3 linked regions of the Ovis aries genome follow. The protein of the gene in region 1 purifies or fractionates together with the protein of each later gene. This does not show direct contact. Links are inferred from orthologs where the notes say so. Each region holds a gene or a part of one and is shown in the gene's direction. Other genes may lie near its edges.

The links. The genes of interacting proteins can lie anywhere in the genome.
Region 2: the proteins of STK25 (region 1) and PPP2R1B purify together in Homo sapiens (affinity purification with mass spectrometry; 3 studies listed by BioGRID and IntAct, with this or other methods). This does not show direct contact. The link is inferred for Ovis aries from reciprocal best matches to the Homo sapiens genes STK25 and PPP2R1B.
Region 3: the proteins of STK25 (region 1) and CAB39 purify together in Homo sapiens (co-immunoprecipitation; 3 studies listed by BioGRID and IntAct, counting the BioPlex papers as one, with this or other methods). This does not show direct contact. The link is inferred for Ovis aries from reciprocal best matches to the Homo sapiens genes STK25 and CAB39.

The regions. Positions count from the first base shown.
Region 1 is NC_056054.1:366,132-369,877, forward strand, and holds the start of STK25 (serine/threonine-protein kinase 25), read left to right. Parts: upstream 1-1,195; 5' UTR 1,196-1,260; exon of another isoform or gene 1,261-1,339; intron 1,340-1,705; 5' UTR 1,706-1,799; coding exon 1,800-1,829; intron 1,830-3,746. UniProt on the Homo sapiens protein: Oxidant stress-activated serine/threonine kinase that may play a role in the response to environmental stress.
Region 2 is NC_056068.1:21,758,751-21,762,396, reverse strand, and holds part of PPP2R1B (serine/threonine-protein phosphatase 2A 65 kDa regulatory subunit A beta isoform), read left to right. Parts: intron 1-2,679; coding exon 2,680-2,834; intron 2,835-3,195; coding exon 3,196-3,338; intron 3,339-3,646. UniProt on the Homo sapiens protein: The PR65 subunit of protein phosphatase 2A serves as a scaffolding molecule to coordinate the assembly of the catalytic subunit and a variable regulatory B subunit.
Region 3 is NC_056055.1:232,626,384-232,630,029, forward strand, and holds part of CAB39 (calcium-binding protein 39), read left to right. Parts: intron 1-925; coding exon 926-1,069; intron 1,070-1,919; coding exon 1,920-2,108; 3' UTR 2,109-3,646. UniProt on the Homo sapiens protein: Component of a complex that binds and activates STK11/LKB1. In the complex, required to stabilize the interaction between CAB39/MO25 (CAB39/MO25alpha or CAB39L/MO25beta) and STK11/LKB1.

The DNA.
Region 1 (3,746 bases):
TTTGGGTAAACTCCAGGAGTTGGCAATGGACAGGGAGGCCTGGTGTGCTGCAGTCCATGGGGTCGCAGAGAGTCAGACACAACTGAGTGACTGAATTGAATGGAACAGATCACATAAAATTTACCATCCTAACTGTCCCTGGGACTGCAAGGAGATCCAACCAGTCCATTCTGAAGGAGATCAACCCTGGGGTTTCTTGGGAAGGAATGATGCTGAAGCTGAAACTCCAGTACTTTGGCCACCTCATGCGAAGAGTTGACTCACTGGAAAAGACTCTGGTGTTGGGAGGGATTGGGGGCAGGAGGAGAAGGGGACGACAGAGGATGAGATGGCTGGATGGCATCACGGACCGGATGGACGTGAGTCTGAGTGAACTCGGGGAGGTGGTGATGGACAGGGAGGCCTGGTGTGCTGCTATTCATGGGGTCGCAGAGTCGGACACTGAGCGACTGAAGTGAACTGAACTGTACATTTCAGCAGCGGGAAATACATTCTCATGGTTATGCAGCCAATCTCCAGATCTCTTGTCATCTTCTGAGACTGAGGCTCCGTCCCCATTAGACACCCCTTCCCCCTACACTCACACTTCGCCTTTCTGTGCCGATGAATCCGGCCACTCCGGGGACCTCATACAAGTGGAAGCGAACCGTGTTTGTCCTTCTGGGTCTGGCTGCGGTCACTCAGTGCCACGTCGTCAAGGTCTACCCAGGCCGACCTGTGTCAAAAGCGCCTTCCTTTTTCAGACTTAATAACATTCCAAGACACTTCCAGGCCCGGTTCACCCTCCCAAGCCCGGAAGCCGGAGGGGTGAGGCCTGCAGGACCCGGCCGGAGCCCCGGGCCAGGTCCGCCCAGGTGCGGCCAGGCGGCGGGAGGGCGGAGCGGCCCCACCCGCGGCCGCCCCGCCCCGGCGCCGCCTGGCCCCGCCCCGCCCCGCGGCCTGCCGGGAGACGTAGGCCCGCGCCTCTCAGGAAGCCGGACTCGGAGTCCCAGCGCGCCCCGCGGCGCGCCTGCGGGCCTCCTCTGCGCTCCAGCCCGTGGCCTGCCGGGATTTGCAGTCCGGCGCCCGCGGGCGCCCCGGCGCGGGGCGAGCGAGCGACTCGCTGTCCCAGAATGCCCCGTGCTGGGCCGCGACGCCGCGTGCCCTCGCCTCCGCCGCCGCCGCCGCCGCCGCCGCCGCCGCCGCCGCCGCCGCCGAGCTTTCTCCGGCCGCCGCCGCCACTGCCGCTGCTTCGCGAGCTGAGGGCCCAGGCGTCCGCGGGCGAGTGGAGGCTGTGGGTGGGAGCCCTCGCGGGCACTGCGGAGCGGGCCGGGGGAGGCCGGGATGGAGCCCCCCGGAGGTGGGCGCGCCGCCGGGCTGGCCCGCGCCTGGGCCGGTTGGGGAGGGGGCCGGGCGGCGCGGCCGCGGGGCGGGGCCGGGGGTGAGGCGGGGCGAGGCGCCCCGGGGGCGGGTAGGGGCGGCCCTGGCCGGGGGCCGGGGTCTGGGGAGGGGTGGGGGCCGGGGAGGTGTGCGCGGCGTCGGGGGGCTCCCCGGGGAGGCCTGAGGCAGGGTCGGGCGCGGAGGGTGCGCGGCGGGAGCCCTTCGGGGGACCCTTCTCCAGCTGGTCCCCAGATGGTTGGAGGAGGGGGCTGCCGCCGCGCCCCGGGGGGCGGGGAGCCCCGCGTACCCGGAACAGGGCCCCCGAGCAGGTCTGCTCTCCCTCCAGTTGACTGAAGCGGCCTGAAGCGGGTTCCAGAGCCTCCAGGCGGGATCTCGGGGCCTCCCGGGGGCGCGGCGGATGGTCTGAGGGCCGCGCAGCCATGGCTCACCTCAGGGGATTTGCCAACCAGGTAAGGGTGGGCGTCTGCACGCTGCCTGGGACGGGGCGCCGGCTGCAGAGGTCGAGAAAGGCCGTTTCACCAAGGAGACTGTCTTTTGAAAAGTGGTCCGGGGGTGTCAGAAGAGCAGCCCCTCTTAGGGCGCGTGTGGGAGGAGGGGTGGAGGCCCGTGATGCGTAGCCCTGGGCAAAGCGGGAGCAGTCGCCAGGTGCTCAGATTTGGTGGGTGCAGGGCGGACTGGGGTCCGCCCGTTGGCAGCGTCCTGTGGGGCAGGACCCCCACCAGCCTGTCAAAGTGTAGCCTCAATGCAGGGTCAGCCGGAGGTATGTAGAGACCCACGCTGTTACAGGGCTGAACCCCAGGAACTGGGTCTGTGCGTCTGGAGGGCCGCGGAGGGTCAGGGTCCACCAGCACATTGGCTTGGGGGACGGGCCTGCTCGGCCCTGAGGGGGACGAGGGGGGCTGGGAGTATCTGTGTGCAGGGAAGGCAGAGGACGCGCCTGTGTGTTTCTCTTGCTGGGTGGACAGGGCTGCCACTGGGCTGCGAGGGGCCTGCCTGGGAGATGCCCACTGTTTTTTGGCTGGTTGGTTCTTGAAATTACCAACGCCACAGCACTTTGAGGGGTCTGGCTCTGTGCATTAACTGCCTGAGTCCAGGGGACCCTCCACAATGTGCCCTGGGGCTGATGGCTACAGTTAGGCGGGTTGGGGCAGCCGCCGCCAGGGCTTGTGGGCCACGCTTCCCCCCCCTTTTCTGTTACTGCAAGGCAGGTGTGAGTGGAAGCTCCTGGGAAGTAAGCGCCCCAGCTGGTGCGGTGGTCCTTCACCCCAGCTGTTGGGTTTTGCTCTTCTTAGCTGGTCAGCTGGGGTGCGGTTTAGGCTGACGGCTGCGAGGTGGTGGGAGCGCCTCTTGAAGAGAATTGAGCCCTCGGGCTCGCTCCGTTCAGCCCAGTTTGGGAGGACTGGGAGCCTGGGAGGAACAGAAAGTGCGTGTCCTTGCGGGGGAGGAGGAGCTGGAGTCAGGTCGGCTCTAGATGCCTGGGCTCTTCGGAGAACCCCAGGGCGCCGCGCTGATGCTGCAGGTGGGCCGCTGCAGGCCCGTGCTCCCTCGGACACGTGCGTCTTCCGAGTCCCTGGACTAAGATGCTGGCAGAGAAGTCTGGCTCCAAGTCAAGGGCTGTAGGAACGGCCCCCCGTGTGCGGACGTGGCGCTGTGAGCGGCCCCTCACCTGGGTGCTGGTGGTGCTCGCAGCGGGGCTTGGGTGGCTGCGTCTTGCCCGGGGACGGAGCGGGGCTCAGGGGAGCTGAGGAAGGGACCCCAGAGGAAGGAAGCCCCTTTTGTCCTTTCAGGGGTGGAGACGCTTGGTCTTTGTCGGTGACAGGAAGCCTGACAGGACGTTGTTTTCCTTGAGGTGGTTGTCATCGTGGTCCTGTGAGGCGGTCCCTGTGTGCGTGGGGTGGTGGCCTGCTCCCCGCGGGGGAACCTTGGGCATTGGGCCCCCGCCGGGCTGTGACTCCTGCCCAGGCCTGTGCAGCTGTAGAAGCGCCCTGTGCAAGTGACTGCCACCTGTCGTGGGGTGCATGGGGGCCGCTGGCCAGCCCTCACTTGGGGGGTGATGCCAGCGGCGGGCGTGGTGCTAAGTGGATGTGCAGGCGGCTGAGCGGTGACCGCAGACCGGGCCGCCCCAGGGCAGGTTCAGGGCCCGGTGGTCTGGGCCAAGCGAGCAGGCCGAGCGGCTGTCCAGACCCGGCTCTCACAAGGGCCCCCGCAGCCCGGCCCCGGCCCTGTCTCCCTTCTCCCCCGCGCGGCTGTGAGCAGGCTGTCCCAGGGTGCGCTGCTGGGGCCTCTGTCCACTCAGGCGCCCGGCCTGCAGCCCTGGGGGCCTGAGGCGGCTGCGAGCCGGGCCCGGCCTCTGGTTAGGGCCTGCC
Region 2 (3,646 bases), on another chromosome or scaffold:
CATGGACTGTAGCCTACTAGGCTCCTCCGTCCATGGAATTTTCCAGGCAAGACTACTGGAGTGGGTTGCCAGTTGGATCATATGGTTAAAAAAGTGAAGAGGAGAGGTGCAAAAAATGTAAATTTCTTAAAGACATGTAAATGTAGATAATCTCATTGTTTTCAAACTAGATTGCAAAGATTTTATTTCTCTTTTTCTTGTCCTCTAAAGTTGTCCCTGTATGGCTTCATTTTTTTTCTTCTTAAACGAAACTAAGGTTTGGTGAAATCATGGGAAAGATAGTCTTCTCTTTTTAGAAATAAAGTGTTCATATTATTTCTGATAAATATTAATGTTAGTGAGTCCCAGCAGATTGGTCCATACTTTCTTTGAAAGCTAGTATTCTACACTTAATTTTGAGATACTTTTAAAATCCTGTTGTTCCACAAATAATTGAATTCCTGACATCTTTTCTATATAGAATTCACCCGTCAATGCAGGTTAATTAATGCTTTCTTTTTTCTCTGATTTTTTGTCTTCTGGTTTAGGAGCAGAAGAGACCCTTGTGTCTTTTTCTGCAGCAGCATACTTAAGTGGCCTTTGCAAGCATTCTTTGAACCAATGAAATGTCAGCTCTGAAATTGTTCGAGGTTTTGTTTTTGCATTTTAGATAACTGCCATGTAGTGATCAGTGACCTGTTCAATTTTTAGAAACTTTTTTTGCTTATTAAAGTACTAAGAGGATATTGTGAAAAAGTACAGAGAACTAAAAGCAAGACGGTATCACTTACCCTCTTTTCCCATGGTTGAGTGGATAGTGTTGATCAGAGAGAGGAATTTAGAAGGGGAGTTTATTTTTTATACGAGGAAGGAAAAAGTACCAAAGTTAGAAATACACCACATATACACCACATATAGAGTGTTTTAGAAATTCAGAGGAACACCAGCCAGACCTTAAGGGGAGAGGAAGAAGAAGGAGGGAGAGAGACAAATCAAGCAGAGAGGAGAGGCAGAACCGTGGAGTGGTTTGTTTGCATTCTTTTCACAGCAAAACTGAGAGGAGCCAAGAACATAGTAGGCGTCTGGCCAAGCGGAGTTGAGTGCAGTTAAGGTCTGGGTCAAGGCCGAGCGCTAGTCTCTGGTTACTCTGGCAATGAGATCCCTTCCCTATGGCAATGGCATTAGGATGAGAAGAATCTCAAGCAAATAAACAACGAGGGGAGAAGACACAGATGGGAAGAAGTTGGTGGGGGACGGTGTGCTCAAAACAAAGACTGCTGGTGAAGGGAGGGAGTTTTTGTTAGAGTAGAACAGGTGACTTGAGCGTGTTCCTTCGAGAGTGCTGCTGAATATCCCTGCCAGGCTGCTTCTCCCATGCTCCGGTCAGGTTGCACGCTGCTAATAATCTAGCCCCTTGGCTCAGGTGTCTGGCCTGTTCTCACCAGTGGCGTCGCCTGAGAGGCTCTGTGGCCTGGGAAGAACCGGCCGTTTCCTGGCTGGGAGCCGTGTGTCAGTCTTCCGGGCTCAGAGCTGTGGCCTGGGTGCCTGTCACTCCCAGCTGTCAGCCGGGAGCGTTGGGCGCCCCTGGAGGGAGGAGTAGAAGAAGGAGTCGGCACTGACCTTTCACTTGTTACCTAAGGCCAAACTTTGAGTGTATTGGGCGTGTAAGATGAAGCGTTGCCGTACCTGTCTTTGTTGGCTGTTGTATGTAGTAACTAGTTGTTGAGAAGATGTGGCTCAGGCCTTTATTTAGATTTATGATGTCTTTGCTAAATGACCTTGTAGGGAATTACGATATTAAAGCAGGCACGTATATTCACAGAAGGCGTTTGACGTGTTGCCTCAACAGAAACGTTTTTAAGGGGAGAAAAGGCAAGTCAGTCTCAAGGTTTTATTTGCTGTTGTGTGGACGACGACAGTGGCCTCTGACTAGCCTCCTTGCTGCTGTTCTCAGCTGTTCTTGCTGCTGCTGAAATAATCTTGCTAAAATACCACATTGGTCATAGGGCCACATCTTTGCTTTAAAAACCCGCCACTGGTTTCCTTACAGTCTAAATTTAGCTTTCATGAAGCTCGGTCTGACTCCACCCTAACTGTTCAACCTTACAGTCTCACAGATTCCAGTTTTTCCTTTGTGCCCTGGGTAGCTTTTTTTGTCCTTTCTAGGAATTCGTCCCCTCTTCTCTCCACTTACACAAACCCTCCATGATCTTTAAGGCCCAGTGCAAGGCCTGTGTTTCCCACAGCCTTCCCAGACCTTCCTGCTCTCCATCCTCTAAACTCCTACGCCCTCAGGGTCCTTACTGTTGCATGCTTTATTATAATGCGTCCTAGACCCCATGATTTCTCAGAACGCATGATTTTTCATTTCTCTGCTTGAGTATGTGGTCTTTGGGGGCAAGTAACTTATGCATTCTTTCTGTGACACATAGCACATAGTTGGCACTCATATTTGCTAATTAATGATGCCTGTAATGAGCTCCTTACTTCCCTTTTCCTTGGACATTTTGAAACTATAGTCAGACCACATCAGCATATTAGAAGTCATAGCTGAGCATGCTTGCCATTGCAGTCTGACTAAATTTGGAGTGTTTACAGTTTTATTTTTGGCCCACCTTTGACGATGGCGTAAGGAAAAGTAAACCAGGTTACGCTCGTGATGTGAGCAGCATGCCAAAATCTTCTTCACCTCTTCTGCAGTGTATGCCATCCGGGAAGCTGCCACCAATAACCTCATGAAACTAGTTCAGAAGTTTGGTACAGAGTGGGCCCAAAATACCATCGTTCCCAAAGTGTTAGTAATGGCGAATGATCCTAATTACCTGCATAGAATGACCACTTTATTCTGCATTAATGTAAGTATTACATAGCTGTTTTGTTAAGCTCTGGTGTTAAACCAGTTATTCAGGACTATATTTCTGAATCCTGAATATGTTGTCCTCTGTTTGGACTATATTTCTTAATACTGATTAAGTTGGATATTTAGGAGATGAGAGAAAACTGTCAATTTTTCAATTGGTGTTAAACTCTACAGTCAAGTCAGTTTTGAATTCTGGTCTAATTCTGGGATTCTGTTCTACCTTGTATCTTTCATCACATGCTTACACTAGAAACATTTTCCTGGCAGCCAGTTACTTTCTTAGCTCTTTAGATTTGGGGATACTTTTTTTTTAAAAAAAGGTGTATTTTAATGTGCTGTCTTATTTCTTTTTCAAGGCACTGTCTGAAGCCTGTGGTCAGGAAATAACCACTAAGCAGATGCTGCCGATTGTATTGAAAATGGCAGGAGACCAAGTAGCAAATGTCCGTTTTAATGTGGCCAAATCTCTACAGAAAATTGGACCAATTCTAGATACCGAGTAAGATTTTTAATATTCTTTTTTAAAAAGTAGATTTAAGTTTTCACCCCATGCAGGCAGAAATAGCTATAATTAGATTTGGTGATTTTCACATCACCTAAGATGTGGGTTAGGTTAAAGAAAATAATAAAGTAATTCAATAACCAATTTTGAGGGTGTCTGTTTTATATTTAAGCTCTGTACATGTGTAGATCATTGTCCAAAGCTAATTCTGCAGAGACTTAGAGAAATTATTTAGTACTTGTCAAGTTAATATTATAGGTGTTTTAAAATATTAAAAAAATTTTAAACTGTGAAAATTACCATAG
Region 3 (3,646 bases), on another chromosome or scaffold:
AAATAATATGCTCAAGGATATAGAGCTCACAAGGAGCAGAGTGTCAGGATTTGAGCCCAGGCAGGCTGGTGCCGGGAGCCAGGCTGGACGCCACTCTGTTGTGCCTCTGGCCCGTGCCCCCATGCAGGCCATGCCACCTGCACACTAGTCCTTGACAGGAAGTTGGCACCATGACAACATGAAGAGGTGACCGCGAGTTTCAGAAGAAGAAATCTAGAACAAGCAGGTTTGATTTTAAAATTAAGAGCTGATGTGGCACAATCAACTCATAGAACTCAGTAAGCACAGACTTAACTGAAGCGACAGATTTTTTTTTTTTTTTAGCTTAATTAACTTCATTAGTGATATTGTGGTGTCACTAAGAGAAGCTTAGAGTATCTTCAGGATACCTTGCTTAAGAAGGACCAGAAAAGTACTCGTTTTTATGAAGCTTTTTTAATCTGATAAGATAAAACGATGTTTGACGTGTATAGAAAGCTGTGTGCATGAAACCCTTTGTCCCATAAAGTTCAGATACGTAAAATTATTTTTAAATATAGCTAAGGTTTATAGTTATCCAGTAACTTATCTTCTGACCACTTTCTTTGGTGGTTTCTTTTTACTGAGATAACACAAACGCATATTTAAAGAACAGGTTCTGATAAGTCTCAGATTCTGAGCCAGATGTGGCTTGAATGTGGTCTTCTTCAGGGAGCAGTGCCAGACCCACCATAGGTGTAAACCCCAGAAGAAAAAGGAGGTGTCCAAGTAGCAAACAGGAAGTGCTCATTAGCTTTCAGGTCATAATTCAGTTCATCCATCTTTTCAGTGCCTATTAATATTCTGTGCTTAATAATATTTAATGAACTGTTTTTAAAACTTTAGTTTTACTTCAAATCTTAAATGATAATGGTGGAATAAACGGATAAATTGTTTGTCTTCTCAGCTTCTGGGGGAACTGCTACTAGACAGACACAACTTCACGATTATGACAAAATACATCAGTAAACCTGAGAACCTCAAATTAATGATGAACCTTCTACGAGACAAAAGCCGTAACATCCAGTTTGAGGCCTTCCACGTTTTTAAGGTAGAGTGCTAAGACCATAAACACTAGTTGTTCATCCCATTTTATTTGCAAGTTACTTGTTTTATTAGCTTCATTTTGGTAATCTGAGTGACACAGTCATTCAGTCCATTTTCACAGTTGTGTGGTACAACATTTAAACAAAAATGGACCCGGAAACAGGGCATTTGCATTTGGGAATAAGAAAAGTTGATTTGTAGAGGAGTGTCACCCGTCTTTGGCATCAGTTCAGTTCAGTCACTCAGTTGTGTCTGATTCTTTGCCACCCCATGGACTGCAGCACACCAGGCTTCCCTGTCCATCACCAACTCCCGGAGCTTGCTCAAACTCATGTCCATCGAGTCAGTGATGCCATCCAGCCATCTCATCTTCTGTTGTCCCCTTCTCCTCCCGCCTTCAGTCTTTGCCAGCATCAGGGTCTTTTCCAATGAGTCAGCTCTTCGCATCAGGTGGTCTTTGGCGTGGAAAATTACTAATCCCAAAGTAAAGGGAAATGCATTTCTTAATGCTTTCCATGGAGATTTTTGTTCTTAAAATCCATTCTGACCTCCTGTGCCCAGAACTAACTTCTGCCCATTTTATTCTAAAATCAAAGTCTGTATTTAATACAAACTACAGAGTTTCAGAGCATGAGTGAACATGTCGGTCCTTTTTGTGCTTAAACATGCACTTCTTCCCTCCTTTTTTAATTGTAAAAGTAAGGTCTTCCAAAGCAGACACCCGAATGAGCAATCTGGACTGCAGCCCGTGCCCCGGGGAGCAGTGGGCGTGGCCACACGTGCTCTGCTGTCTGCAGCGTCTCCACACCGCGCACTGTCCTTCCTGTAGCTGACGTTGATCTCTCCTTGTGCAGGTGTTCGTAGCCAACCCCAACAAGACGCAGCCCATCCTCGACATCCTCCTCAAGAACCAAGCCAAGCTCATAGAGTTCCTCAGCAAGTTCCAGAATGACAGGACCGAGGACGAGCAGTTCAATGATGAGAAGACGTATTTAGTCAAACAGATCAGGGATTTGAAGAGACCAGCTCAGCAAGAAGCCTGATTTCCAATAAACACCGAAAATATTAAATCCAAGTTCAGCGTCTGCTGTTCGCTCTTCAGCATCAGGCACTGTTATCAGTTCATGAGGAACATTACTGCTAATCTGCTGTTATATGAACGGTTTTCATTTTACCTTTTTTGATTTTTTTTGTTTGTTTTTTTAGTCCAAGTTGGAGAACGTAGCTGCTGCTTTCTTGCACACTAGAGCACACGTGGACTTTTTCTTGATCTTTGTGTCATTTCAGAATTTAAAGACTCCGTTTGCTGTAGAAGTTCTGAACATGGCTAGGTTCCTTGAAGGCAAATGCATAGATGATAGTGTGTGTTAGGGGAAGAGCGCATTGATCTGATCAGAGTAAACCTGCCTGTTTGTGTTTATCTTTGTTAAAGATCTGAGTGTGGATTCTGAGTAAGATTGTATGCCTTCACTCGTGGAAGATCGTGCAGAGCTTTATTTGAAATCCTAGGGGAACTGTATCCAAGATGGGAGCTCCTTGAGTGGATAAAGTTGACACACGAATAAATTGATACTGAAACTTAGCAACTTCTGAAAAGTGTGAAGCTTCATAAGGTCATAAGGAAAATGTATATATGCTTTTCACAGCTTTCTGGAATTTTTTGACATTTGATTTTCTTGAGACTTGTAAACCTGGATATGTTGAAGGGTATTTGTTAATTTTACTTTTTGAAGGTATTTTAAAACAGTAGAGCTAGCAACGACACCTCGCATTTCATTTCAACAGTGCTTACAGGTTTCTTTTGTATATAATTCTTAGAATGCTCATTTCTTTTAAATGATTTAATTTGTACAGCAGAGGAATGTTATTGTATTAGTATGTAACTATTACCTAATATTGAGTTTTTGCAAAAAATGAATGCTCATATGTAATTGAAATACTTCAGATCACCTGAAAATGCTGATTTAACATTTAAGTATCACAGCATTAAAAGAAAACGAAGTAAACCAGTCCTTTGTATTCAGTTATCTAATGGGGTGCCATCAATAGACTACAGTACAGACCTGGAACTCAGCTACACTTTTTCCTGCGTAATATTGGCCTTATTCATTTAAAATGAGTCAAGAGTTCTCCAGATCTACGAATGATACCAATTATGCTAAATTAATGCTGATTCTTTGTGTGTGGGGAGACCTCTTTAGAGCACCTTTTCTTTCTTAGAGTAAGTAATCCAGTACAATAGTTGTGAAACTGAATAATTAAAACTTTGGCTTCTTTTAGGAAAAGAAGAGTTCCTAGTCATAGGTGTCCTATGGGGAAATGTATTTTTTTTAATGTCCTGTTCCTTAATGCTGCAAATTATCAGTATTTATAAAGTAACTGATTCTGCACCACTTCTTTGTTACTGTGACCACAGCAGAACAACGTCTCCTAGAATGCATCTGTGTAAAGCTATTAGAGTGGTGTCTGTCCATCTTAGTGACATGGAGACCACAACTAACAACTCACAAGTCAGAGTTTGCCGGTTCGAATTCAGCATGGCTGTAGCTGATTAAGAAATTTATATAATTATTCTTTGCTA